Drosophila melanogaster: one gene and its partners. The protein of the gene in region 1 interacts with the protein of each later gene in a pairwise test. Each region holds a gene or a part of one and is shown in the gene's direction. Other genes may lie near its edges.

The links. The genes of interacting proteins can lie anywhere in the genome.
Region 2: the proteins of CG10209 (region 1) and Poxn interact in a two-hybrid assay, tested with the Drosophila melanogaster proteins (2 studies listed by BioGRID).
Region 3: the proteins of CG10209 (region 1) and CG9040 interact in a two-hybrid assay, tested with the Drosophila melanogaster proteins (2 studies listed by BioGRID).

Annotation. Positions count from the first base shown.
Region 1 is NT_033778.4:14,845,515-14,850,244, reverse strand, and holds CG10209 (uncharacterized protein), read left to right. Parts: upstream 1-1,878; 5' UTR 1,879-2,042; coding exon 2,043-2,045; intron 2,046-2,273; coding exon 2,274-2,429; intron 2,430-2,480; coding exon 2,481-3,827; coding exon of another isoform or gene 3,828-3,914; 3' UTR 3,915-4,181; downstream 4,182-4,730. Other genes in the region: SMC2 (structural maintenance of chromosomes 2), read left to right, coding at 1-82, 136-1,573.
Region 2 is NT_033778.4:15,832,046-15,836,830, reverse strand, and holds the start of Poxn (Pox neuro), read left to right. Parts: upstream 1-1,775; 5' UTR 1,776-2,148; intron 2,149-4,785. UniProt on the Drosophila melanogaster protein: Transcriptional regulator that specifies poly-innervated organs (chemosensory bristle). Also controls the number of neurons.
Region 3 is NT_037436.4:13,986,274-13,989,136, forward strand, and holds CG9040 (uncharacterized protein), read left to right. Parts: upstream 1-1,604; 5' UTR 1,605-1,668; coding exon 1,669-2,154; 3' UTR 2,155-2,353; downstream 2,354-2,863. Other genes in the region: CG17362 (uncharacterized protein), read left to right, coding at 382-843.

The DNA of each region.
Region 1 (4,730 bases):
AAGAATTGCACGCAATTAAGCAAATAGAAAAGGAGTACAGGGAGATCGACTCTGAGATAGCCCAAGTGGAAAAGCAAATTGCGTAGGTGAACCAGTAACTTCTCATTGCCAATACTTACGCCTATCTGTTTTTAGATCCATTGAAAACCAGGCCCTCGCGTTCAACAAAATGAAGGAAAATCTTGACTTGCGACAGCACGAGCTAACCATGTGCGAGAACAGGTTGGCCCAAACAACCTTTCAACAGAATCAGGCTGAAATTGAAGAAATGAGGGAAAGGGTCAAGACCCTAGAGCAGCAAATAATTGACTCCCGTGAAAAGCAGAAGACCTCGCAAGCCAAAATAGTGGATATCGAGGCGAAGTTGGCAGATGCAAAGGGTTATCGCGAGCGAGAGCTGAATGCAGCCACCAACGAGATCAAGGTGACCAAGCAAAGGGCGGAGAAATCTCGTGCGAACTGGAAAAAGCGAGAGCAGGAGTTCGAAACTCTTCAATTGGAAATTACTGAGCTGCAGAAAAGTATCGAAACTGCAAAGAAGCAGCACCAGGAAATGATTGATAACCTCGAAAAGTTTAAGGCCGAGCTAGACGCTCTGAAAGTAAATAGCTCCAGTGCCGCGTCCGAGGTGACGGAGCTCGAACAGGCGATTAAGGAGCAGAAAGATAAACTGAGAGATCAGAACAAGGAGATGCGAAATCAGTTGGTCAAGAAGGAGAAAATGTTGAAGGAAAATCAGGAGATTGAGCTGGAGGTGAAGAAAAAAGAGAACGAACAAAAAAAGATCAGTTCGGATGCCAAAGAGGCAAAGAAACGGATGGAAGCCCTTGAGGCAAAGTATCCGTGGATTCCGGAGGAGAAGAACTGCTTTGGCATGAAGAATACTCGGTACGATTACAGCAAGGAGGACCCCCACGAAGCAGGCAACAAGCTGGCAAAGATGCAGGAGAAAAAGGACAAAATGGAACGCACTCTCAACATGAACGCTATCATGGTGCTGGATCGCGAGGAAGAGAACTTCAAGGAGACCGAGCGCCGGCGAAACATTGTGGCGATGGACAAGGAGAAGATTAAGAAAATCATAGTGAAGATGGACGAAGAAGAGCAGGATCAGCTGAACAAAGCCGCTACCGAGGTGAACACGAACTTCAGTGGGATCTTTAGCTCCCTTTTACCGGGTGCTGAAGCGAAACTCAATCCCGTCCATACCAATGGCTGTCTGACCGGTTTGGAGATTAAAGTCGGCTTCAATGGCATATGGAAGGAGAGTCTCGGTGAACTTTCTGGTGGCCAGAAGTCCTTGGTGGCTCTGTCCCTTGTCCTGGCCATGCTTAAGTTCTCTCCGGCTCCCTTGTACATTTTGGATGAGGTGGACGCTGCCCTGGACATGTCACACACCCAAAACATAGGTAGTATGTTGAAGCAGCACTTCACCAACTCGCAGTTCTTGATTGTGTCTCTCAAGGATGGTCTCTTCAACCACGCCAACGTCCTGTTCCGCACTCTCTTCGAGGAGGGTGTGTCCACCATCACCCGGCAGGTCAGCAGACAGGCGACAACCAACAAACGCTGAAATGGAACTCGTTTACTTTCTTATCACTTAATAAAACTTTAAAAATACCATATAAAACTGTTCTTATCATTTTAATTGTGAATTTTTTCAAGTTTTTTTAATTCGCAAAAAAGGTTGTGTATTACAGCAATATACTTATTTCAAGAGCCATCGGTCAATATACTTATTGCTACATTACTTAAATCAACGAAATAAGTAATTTAACTACAAATTTAATTTTGTAACGGTCGTTTGCGCATCAGCTGATTTCCAACCGGGCGGGCGAAACGTCAAACTGGTGAGACCGTCAAACGCACACACACACATACGCAGCGGACAGAAGAAGAAGAACGAAAGGCAGCAACAGCAATGTTTGAGGGAGTGAAAAATTAAACAAAAGTCCCCGGAATTCAGCAGCAAAAACTCGACGGCGGTTGAAAAACAAAACATCAAGATTTCGAGCCAACGCAGACTGCTTCAAAAGCTCACCATGGTAATTTGCAAGGTTCCAAAAATTACGAATCGTCCGATTCTTTTACCACACACACACACGACTTGTGCGTGTGTGTGTGCGGGGAGCAGCAAAATATTGTAGACACCGCTGGCATTTGGATAAACAATAGCAACAATTGGAGTGGTGTTCGAGGCGGGAAAAGCACCGATTTGTGGAATTTCATTCATTGGAATGTGGGATTGCTAATGAACCGTTTTACTCTTCCAGGATCGAGTGACCAAGCCGCAGAAGAAGATGCTCATCACACTGCTGCGGGAAACCAAGTACATGGAGGGCAAAAAGGAGAAGGAGTGGTATTGGGAGAAGATCCAAGCGGCCCTTAATACTATTGGTCCCAAGAAGACGATTATTCAGTGGAAAAAGGTGCGTTTACTTGCCTATTAAATCCAAAAATAAACTTTAATCTTCTTCCAGTGCTGGCGCGATATGCGACTGACCACAAGGAAAAAGCTGGCGGAACTGAAGCGCTGTCAACTCTCTGGAGGATCTCCACCACCGGGGATCGAACTAAACCAGGAGGACAACGATATCATCGACATTGTGGGCACCGAGTACTTCTACGAGGAGATGAATGGTGAGCTCAAGGCGGAGAACTTCTTGACCGGCTTGGACTACGCCCCGGAGCATCTGTGCGATGCTATTCTCACGGCAGCAGTGGGCCATCACCAGCACAATATGCAGCACCAGAAGGATCCGCAATCGCATGCAGGGCAACAGCAGCAGCAGGATCATCACACCAACGATGGCGAAACCAATGATGCTCCTGGATCAAGCAATGGTGGCTCATATCAGGGACACCCAGTATCCCAGTTGCAGGCGCACAATGGCAGCGGTGGAGGAGGCGAGCATAGCGGCGGTGGTCAATCCCACTCCGGAATGCTCCAGCACCCTGCTTTTCACGGTGGCTTGCATCCACACCTGTTGAGGCGCCAGCATGGAAGTGGATCACTATCCAGAGAGTCGCCATTTGAGGAGAAGCTTCTGCAGTTCATGCAGGATGCATTTCCAAAAAAGAGCAAGAAGCGCAAGAACCGGGATCCCGACAAGCTGTTCCTCTTATCCCTGTACGAAGAGATCAAGAGAGTTCCGGAGGAGATACGCCTTGATGTAAAGTCCGAACTAATGCAGATACTGAAGAAGTATCAGAAGAAGTCGCCTGTCAAAGCGGAGAAGCCCGCGCCCTCCTCTACGTCAACCTCCTCAAAACTCAGCTCTAGCAGCAGTGGCAGTAGCACGGTGACTACTCACTTGTCCCACAGCATGTACCAGTTGCAAAAGAAATACGAAAAGGGCGAGCGTGAACCATCGCCTCAATCACAGGTAGAGCGAGTAGCATCTGCAGGCGCAGTTGCTGTGCCCATTCATACCTCCCAGCAGCTGCCTCTTTTCCAACTTCAGAAGAAGTACGAGGAGAACAGCGTGGAGAAGGTTCATCAGCAGCAACAGCAACAGCAAAGCGAGCAACGCAAGCATGTGGAGGCCGCTCAGGCCCTTCATGCTGCCCACCAGCAACCGCCTCCACCGCCACCCAATGAGCACCTGCACCACCCCCAGATGGCCCACAACATCATGTTTCCGCTGGGACAGCTTCGCAACGAGCAGCCGACCGCACAGCAACACCAGCATGGCCACAATCCCCACCAGCAACAGCAACAGCATCCCCACCAGCAGCAGCAACAGGGACAGCAACACCATCCGCCAACGATCTTCGGATCGACCGCCAGCGAACGGCCTCCAATGTCCTACGAAAATGTCGGATGAGTCCTGAGCCGTCTGTGGGAAGCCACTTGTGGAGCACCACGCCCTGCGACGGTGTCCCCCACGACGGCAGACGCGCACAGCTGTTAGCCCTCGATTTAGACGGCAATTCGTAGGTCTCATTCTTATGCTAGCCTATACCTAAGTACACATTGCTCACTACACTACTACAGTCAAAAATGGTGCAGTCAATGAGGAAGATACTCCTGATGTATGCCATTTTGTAGTAAGTGGATGCCGTGATCCTCATGTAAATGTTCCCGTGGCAATAACAGCGTAGCTCAACTGTGACTCAAGTTCTCAATAGATCGCGACGCATACATTTTTTCGGTGTAAATACAAATATAATTGAATCTTAAAAACTGTGGATGTTTTTTAGTTCAAGTAAAATGATTGATCCCCAACTTCTGGCAAGAGCTCCCTATTCCCAGGTTTTTGTTTTTCTGGCCAAATCGGAGAAGTCATTGGCTTAGCTCTGAGGTGGAATCCACAATCTTGTTTGTTTGGACTTTGAAAAGCTGTAAATCCGGCAAGCGGTCCGTCGTTAAGCTGTCTTCAGGAATATCTAGTCTTCATCTCTCGTAACGCGATAACGAAACCCACAGGGAGCACGCCATATCATAAAGATAGTCAAACAGCTGACTGATCCGGTCTGCCTAAGTGCGAATTTCAACTGAGCGCTGCCGATCGCCGAACTCGTCGTTGTCTGTCGCATGTTGGGCAGGTTGATGAGCGATCACGAGCCGAGCTGCAGCATAGTCCGCCAGATCTGCGGCGCTTATCAGTGGCGTCCGGCTGGGATAAAGAGATACAGATACAGATACAGGCGGATCGACTGGAGGCAGACTGGGTCTGGCATTCTTTTCCGGCAGCTGCCAGCAGCAGTTGATCGTCAGCGATCGAATC
Region 2 (4,785 bases), 990 kb from region 1:
AGCTGCTCGGATAGCTCGGATGGCTGGTAAATGGCAAATGGTTACCGGCAACCCGGCCTTTGTGACAGTTTTATCTCTGGCCAGCAGAAGCTATTGCCAAGCTCTTGCCATCCTCCTGCCATGGGAAAGCCATCGCGCTGAGTGGGCCTAAGAATTTTGCATGTTTTCGCACAGGTTTTTGTGGTTTTTGGTAGCAAGTGGATTTGCATACGCCACGCGGCTCCAAAAAACGGGTTAGGCTTTAGCCAGTCTTGGTGGATCAGGAGTTCCCCCTGCTAGGGACCATTGATTTCCTAGTCATGGCAACTAATTTCCATTCATCATGTTCGGTACCTCGAATGGATCAATAATCCGGACTCCTCCCTTGGAACAATCACAAACAATGTGACAGCTTTATCTTTCAGCACCAGTCGCCGTCGCAGTGAAAATCCATTTCCAATTGTGAATGCCGAGCGACAATTGTCGAATTCAATTAACGCCTGCGGCACCACCGAGCGTTACTTAACGCCGACACCCACCCAACGACCTCCGCCTCCTGCCGCTCCTCCTACTCCTCCTCCTCCTCCTCTCCCCCGGGAGTTTCCAGCGGGTGGGCAAGGACGAGCCGTAGCTGTGGCCGTAGCTGTGGCTGTTTCGCCAGGGTAACGGCTATGCAGTGTCACAATGCGGATGTGGATGTGGATGGGGTCCTTGGAGTGGGCGAGATACATACACTATCAGTTTCTATGAACCACACGATGCAGGACGTGGGCGGGGGGCGGGAGTGAGAGCGTTTGCGTGCTGCGTTGCCTCCGCCGATTGGCCGGAACGCGGCTGCAACGGCAACGCATCGGCTGCGGAAACGGCCACGGATAAGGCTACGCTCTGCCGCAACGCTCTCTGGCCGGAACTCGCCGACCATCCACACCAAATTCTACTACCCCCAGAGCGTTCACAGAGCGAAGGCGGGCTGCACGGACGTCATGCAATCGCACAGTGGAGCAAAAGTTGCAAGCTGGATTGTACTGAACTTGCTCGGTTTTTGCTCATAACATTAAGTTTGTGTACCAAGTTAGAAAAACAATTTTGACACTAAACTATTAGTTTCAAATCAGGTGGCTCATTCTTAACATTTCAAAGTAGCTTTAATGTAAAAGGTCATGGTATCATGCTTCTATAAGGTTTCCTTTCTTCCCAAATATATTACAATGTAATCCTAAAAAGTTTTGAACTCTTAAATCACAAAGATAGTTTAGTTAGCTGCACTTGAGTATCATCACAATTTTTACTACTAACCAACTAATCAACTAACCAGATTAGCAATGTTTATCTACAAAGGTAACTGCGTATTAGTCACTCTCTGAATATAGTGGCTTTACGTAATTACCCCTAATTTCAATGCGGTTTTCTATGCTGTTGAAATCGACCTAGCCCACTAGCCTCTAGCTTCACACTTGACCCACTGTGCCCGTGTCGATTTCGCTCCCGGAGGACGTGTCACCTGGCCCCCACCCCTGCTGCCGAATCTGGCCAATGGCAGCTCACCGTCGGCGCAGCGTGCGACGCATGCGCACCGGGCCAGCTCTCTGATTGGCTCTCATTGGCTGGCGGTGGGCCAAATGGGGCTGAAACCGACGCGGACGTCGCAGCCGTGAAAAACCGGTTACACCAGAAAAACGGTTCGTCCGTGAGTCCGTGAACGCTTGTGTCAGTGTGTGCGGGCCGCGTATTACGAGTGTGTTAGTGAGCGGCGGCTTTTCGGTGGCGTTTTGGGCCGCTCTGCTTGGCGGCGCTTCAGTAGAAATTGTCGGCTGATGGACCGCGGGCGAGGCACGAAGCCAACTCTCAATTTCCACTGCTACCGCCACTGCCACTGCCACAAAAATTGATCGAATCGATGCGCCGGTCCCGCGATTCGCGTGCAGTTAGTCGAATTTTTGACGGTCGAGTGACAAGGTGCGTCGCGTTCCGAACTCCCAAATAAGAATCATACAGAAGCCATTAGCCGTCGCGCCTCCGAACTGAGTAATCGGCCATTATCCGCGGAATAAGCCACACGGTGCATGCAAAACTCGAGCGGAAAGTGTTGTGCTCAAGTGATCAAAGGATTCGAACCAAGTTGCGGCAAAGTTATTGGATAGCCGGCGAATTCAGTGCTCTAAGTTTAAGGTGAGCACATCTTTTGAATTATATATTTCAAAAGTATAACCATCTAGGAAAGATACTATTCATGGAAGATTATCCGTTTTTGGTCAAGCTTTTATGCTTGCACAACGTTTTTAAATTGAGCTTCACCAAGTTATGTTGAATTGGTAAAGTTTAAGTGTTCATTTGCTATCTAGATTATAAAAAATAGAACATAAAAAGATAAAAAACTAGCAGATTCAAGTATCTGTTATAATATTCCATAGATCGTTTATAACGAATTGTCATTATTATTGGCATAAATTAGTTAGAATACATTTGCTTGGATCTGAAAATAAATTTGAGCTTTTATTTGAATCTGCTTCATTAAATGAAATTAGATGACAACTTTATTAGTTCACTGACAAGTTTTTAGATTGTATATTTTGTTGATTTGGATTTTACGCCAGATGTGCTATCTCGTTTTCTACTCGAGACCAGATAAGCTTAATTGAACTTGGTGAAAAGTGCACACATTGCATTTTGAGTGCAGACACATTCTAATCCGTAATATTATGCCAACACTTGACAAAAGCTAACGACGATGACTTATCGGCGTCTTAATTAAGATCTGGTCGCATCCATCGACCTGCCCATAATGACCACCATAAACGATCGTAATCAATTTGTTTGCGCATAATTTGCTTTCTCAACAACTAAATCATTAAAAATCGAGTCGCTCCCGATCAGGTTGCGGCGTTTTTGAAAGACTTTAATAACGATATTTGCTTATCGAGTTCGACACATCGGTCTCAAGTCCGACCTCGTCCCCCCAGACCCAACGCCCTGCCATCGATCGGCTTATTTCTTAATGAACGACGATCTGATCTAACGGATCGAGTCTGAACGGAACCAAACGGGGCGATCTTCATTCAACCGGCGGCGTTAGTTTCGGCCAAGATTCGATTCCAATAATATTCGAATAATATTCATGTTGTGAATGAAGTGGAAGATGCCACCGGATGGCCTGAATCGAATTTGCAATGCAAAACTACGGCCAATTGAACTTCCGCCGCACCGAGATAACTCATTTAAAGCGGACCAATCGATCGTTGGCCAGACTGCCAACGATCGATGACTGCCTTTTTGGCCAGACTTTAGTTTTCCCACGACCACGGCGAGCGACAAAAGTCAAAAATCGTATGCTAATTAATTCTTTGTCATGCCGTCGTTTCTGGCTGCCATTATGGCCCATTGACTTGTGTGCTTTCTAAGCCAAAGCCCAAGCCACCGGCTTTCGGGGCTTTTGGCCATCGGCAACGAGGCAACGAGCCGTCGGACAACTTACTTAAGCGTGGTCCAGAAAGAGCAAGCTAATCATATTCAAATGGTGAAGCGTACGTTTTATTATAATTTTTTTATTTTAATTAGCGGCTGTTAATGCCCCGCTTGGCTCTGGCTTCGATCGATCCATTGATCTGCGGGGGGGGCAGCAAATGATAAAAAATAAAATCAAGGGAGAGGGTTCCGAAACAGAAGCTCGGCCAACCTGTCGGTTCCACTTTCGGTAATCGCACGAATTTAAATTATTGTATGTTTAACTAATTTCTATCGGTTTTTATGTCTGTTCCGCTTGACATGTGCACGGAGCTAATTGAGACTTACGAGTTGAGGATTGTGGAGAAATCGGTAGCACTTGGGGAAGATACTAATTATACTCGTATATTATCCCCCCTGAAAACCAGAAAGCGGTTCTCGAGAACCCAGATTAGCAACATCCCTATATATATAACTCGCAATTTGGCCTCAAGATCGCATTCAACATTTAAAATTGTAGCCGTTGTGGATCTGGAAAAAACCTTTGCTACGCGTTCACATTTTATAAGGTCTCTTAAAATTAGAGGGGATTTTTTGGTCTCACCAGATACTTTGGATCACTGCTTGTTAGTTAGATTAGATATATTTCCAAAAGTAATACCTCAAATTTAGGTTTTTGTGTTCTGCAAGATACATTTTTCAGCATTCTAAGGATGGATCGTACCCAATAATTGATAATTAACACGTGTAGAAGTGGCAAAGCAAGTGGAATAGTCGCATATTTCTAGGGGTTGCTACTATGTCCGGAACTATTTAGTTTTGACTGCTCACTGGCCTCGATTGGGCCACGAAAAATTCCAGAGAAATGGGCGAGCAGCACGCCAGAGGGGAAATTAACCCTTTCATTGCGGCCAAATTGGATTTGGCCGGAATGTCTATTTCACTTTCTACAAAACCGAGTGGATTTGCAATCCTTATCGCACTGTCGGCCAAATCGTGGCCCCGGGCCAACTGCTAACTTTATGGCCTTAACGGCCAGCACGAGTTTCCCGTTCGCGGTGAGTGGTAACCGAAAAACTGAGACGGAGACTGAGAAGGTCCAAAAAAAACCTAATGAACAACTTAATTTCGAGTTCTTTTTTTCTCGTTCTGTTTGGTGTTTTTTCCGTTTTTTTTTTTTATTTCAAAGGGGGAGTGTGTGGTGCGTGCGGTGGTTCGGTGGCTTAACACGCGCATTTCGGTGGTTTTACGAGCTGAAAAGCGGCAAGGGAGCTGGACGAAGGACTCCCGGGCTCGGCAATTAAATCAAATGTGAATTCCATAATAACATGGCCATGACAAAGTGTGGACCGTCGGCCGGCAGTG
Region 3 (2,863 bases), on another chromosome or scaffold:
TTACGCGTTTGAAAACGTTTTCTGAAAGTGAACGCAATTTTAACTGCGTGTAGATAAAGTGGATCTATAAACGTTCGTTTTATATTGTAGACGACAAACAATATATTATTTTATTCCACAACATAAAACGTTATATATCTACTTGATTTATAAAAGTATTTACAGGTAACCACCAGGGGCTAATATTATTATCTAAAATTTCTAAAACAAATTGATAATCAAAAAAACATCTACACAGCTGGCCCAAAGTAAACGAATGTGTGTTTGTTTAATCATATTTACTTTTGATTCATGAAAAACGAGATTCGACTGATATGTTGGTATATAAACCAGAGGATTGAGCTTTCTTCGTTTAGATCACAAAATCTCCCCAAAACGAAAATGAAACTTCTTCTGGTTCTGGCATTGGCAGTCTTCGTAGCCCACGTGGCTGTGGCCCAGACAACTGATTCGTCTGACGATGGAGATTACTCTTACGATTACGCTGATGACAACGATACTGCCGGTAGCTCCGAAGACAACACTGCTGATTCTGGAGACACTAGTGATAGCTCCACTGACGTCGACAGTGGAAACGACTCTGGGGACGTCGATTCCTATGACGACTACGAGGGCTCTAGCGATGTTACGGAAGCACCAACTGCTGCTCCAGTTGTCAAAAAGAACAAAAGAGCTGGTGCCAGGAAAAACAACAGGAACAACAAGAATAAGGCAGCAGCTAAACGTCGCAATGCCGCCGCTGCCAAGAAAAGTAATAACAAGAAGGCGGCTAAGAAGCGAACACCTGTTGCCGCCAAGAAGCGGGCAAATGCTGGACCCAACAAACGTAGGCGCTCTGGATAAATCCAGTTTATTATATTCGTAGCTACAAATTATAAAAATAAAAAATTATACCAAAAAAATTTGTTCCCAAAATTACCAAGATTTTTTTCTATGACGTTTATAAGTTAGGTTTTGAATTAATATATAATAATGATAATGATATTTACCAAGAATGTGGTTGTTGGGTATGGGTGTTTATTATTATGAATTTTGTACAAAACTTGAATATCACAGAAATTTTGAAATATATTTAACTATTTCACCCAATGTTCAAAAGACAAGAAAACATTCTACATAAGTTTTTATCGGCACGTGTTTTTTCCCTCATTTGTAAATAAATATATTTTTGATAAACAAAAACATACACCGCATATACTTGAAAAATTATATAATTTTAAAGACGTTTAATGTCATATCTATTTTTTCTATAAAACTACTAGCAGGTCGCCTAACGCGTAAACCATAGACAAATTGTTCAAAAATCCAGATAAGACATTTGTGACCTTGGCTCTTTTAATATAAAAGAGTTTATATTACTTTTTCGTGCTCTAACACAAAATATAATTTCATAATTTCAACATATAGCAATCGAAAAATGTTAAACAAATACAAGCAGCACACACAGGTGCTCTAAGCCACCGAAAATTAAGACGATGAATTAAAAAACCAATATTTGCATTCTACAGATGTACATAGAAAAATAATGTAAAAAAGCTTTATATATTTATAAATTTCTTCAGAGGAGAAAAAACTATAAATACCCAGTGTTGAAGACTTTTAAACTCAGACGTTTATACCTAAGGTTACCTATCTGTTCGTTGACTCTATAGATACAAAAAAAAAAAGATGAGGCTGCTGTTGGTTTTAAGCCTGGCCATATTGGTTGCCTTCGTAACGGGTGCTGATGACACTGACGATGACTATTACGATTATTACGACTATGGTGATGACTACTATGACGACTCTGATGTAGAGTCCAGTTCGGAAAGTGGTGTTGGTGCATCCAGTAGCTCAGAAGATGATGCTAGTACCTCCGAGGACAGTTCCTCCGGCGAAGCTTCCGATACAGGTAGTTCTTCAGAAACTTCTGGAGATGGTTCCTCCGCCGAAACGACCTCCAGTTCAACTCCAACCAAGGCAGAAAAAGCCAAGAAAACTGCTGCACGCAGAGCTAGACGGCGCAGGCGCACCACCACCGCTGCTCCCAAACGCAAAGTAGCGGCAGCCGCGTCTGCCAAGAAGCAAACACCTGTTGCCCAAAAGAAGAAGACACCTGTGGCAGCCAAGAAGAAGGCGAATACTGCCGCCAACAAACGCAAACGCACAGGCTAAGCAGTTCGAAAAAAGGATAAATTCCCCATAGTCACTGAAAGTTTTTACATCAAACTTTTAAGAGGACCAAGAGACATCTTGTAGAATCTACATTAGTCTGGGAATATTTCATATGTTGTTTTCTGTACAAAAAATCCATATAAAAATACAAAGATAAGGAGACGTTTTGTAATTTACCAAAAATATACATTATTAATCCAAAATATACAACAATTTTGTATTTGAGGGCTTAAATGATCTTTCTTCGGAGAGAAACTAATCATTACAAATCGTTTCTGAATACTTAAAATCGAAAGCCAACTAAAAATCAAGTATTCCTTAAAAGGAAAAAAATTTTTTGAACGAAACATTCATTTAATAAACTGTTGTGGTTTATATACAAGTCTCTGCAGCCAGATTAGTATAAATCGTTCTAGTGGCGTAGTATTACCAAAGTCAGCTGCATTTTGCTGCATATTTTTAGGCGCCCACATTTACATTTACCAGCGCTTTGGCGCATTGTGTTTCTATTTAGACGTAAGCCAATAGCATCTATAAATAGTAATTATGCCCTCATACAAGTAGACATAAATGCACAGGGACACTTAATTACTGATGCGCACAGGCGACAATTGTTTAATGGCGAAAGGATAACGAAAAGGGAGGAGCCTGAGTAGCGCCATCGGCCACCACAATGGGACCATTGTTTTCGATTTCAATGCCGACATTC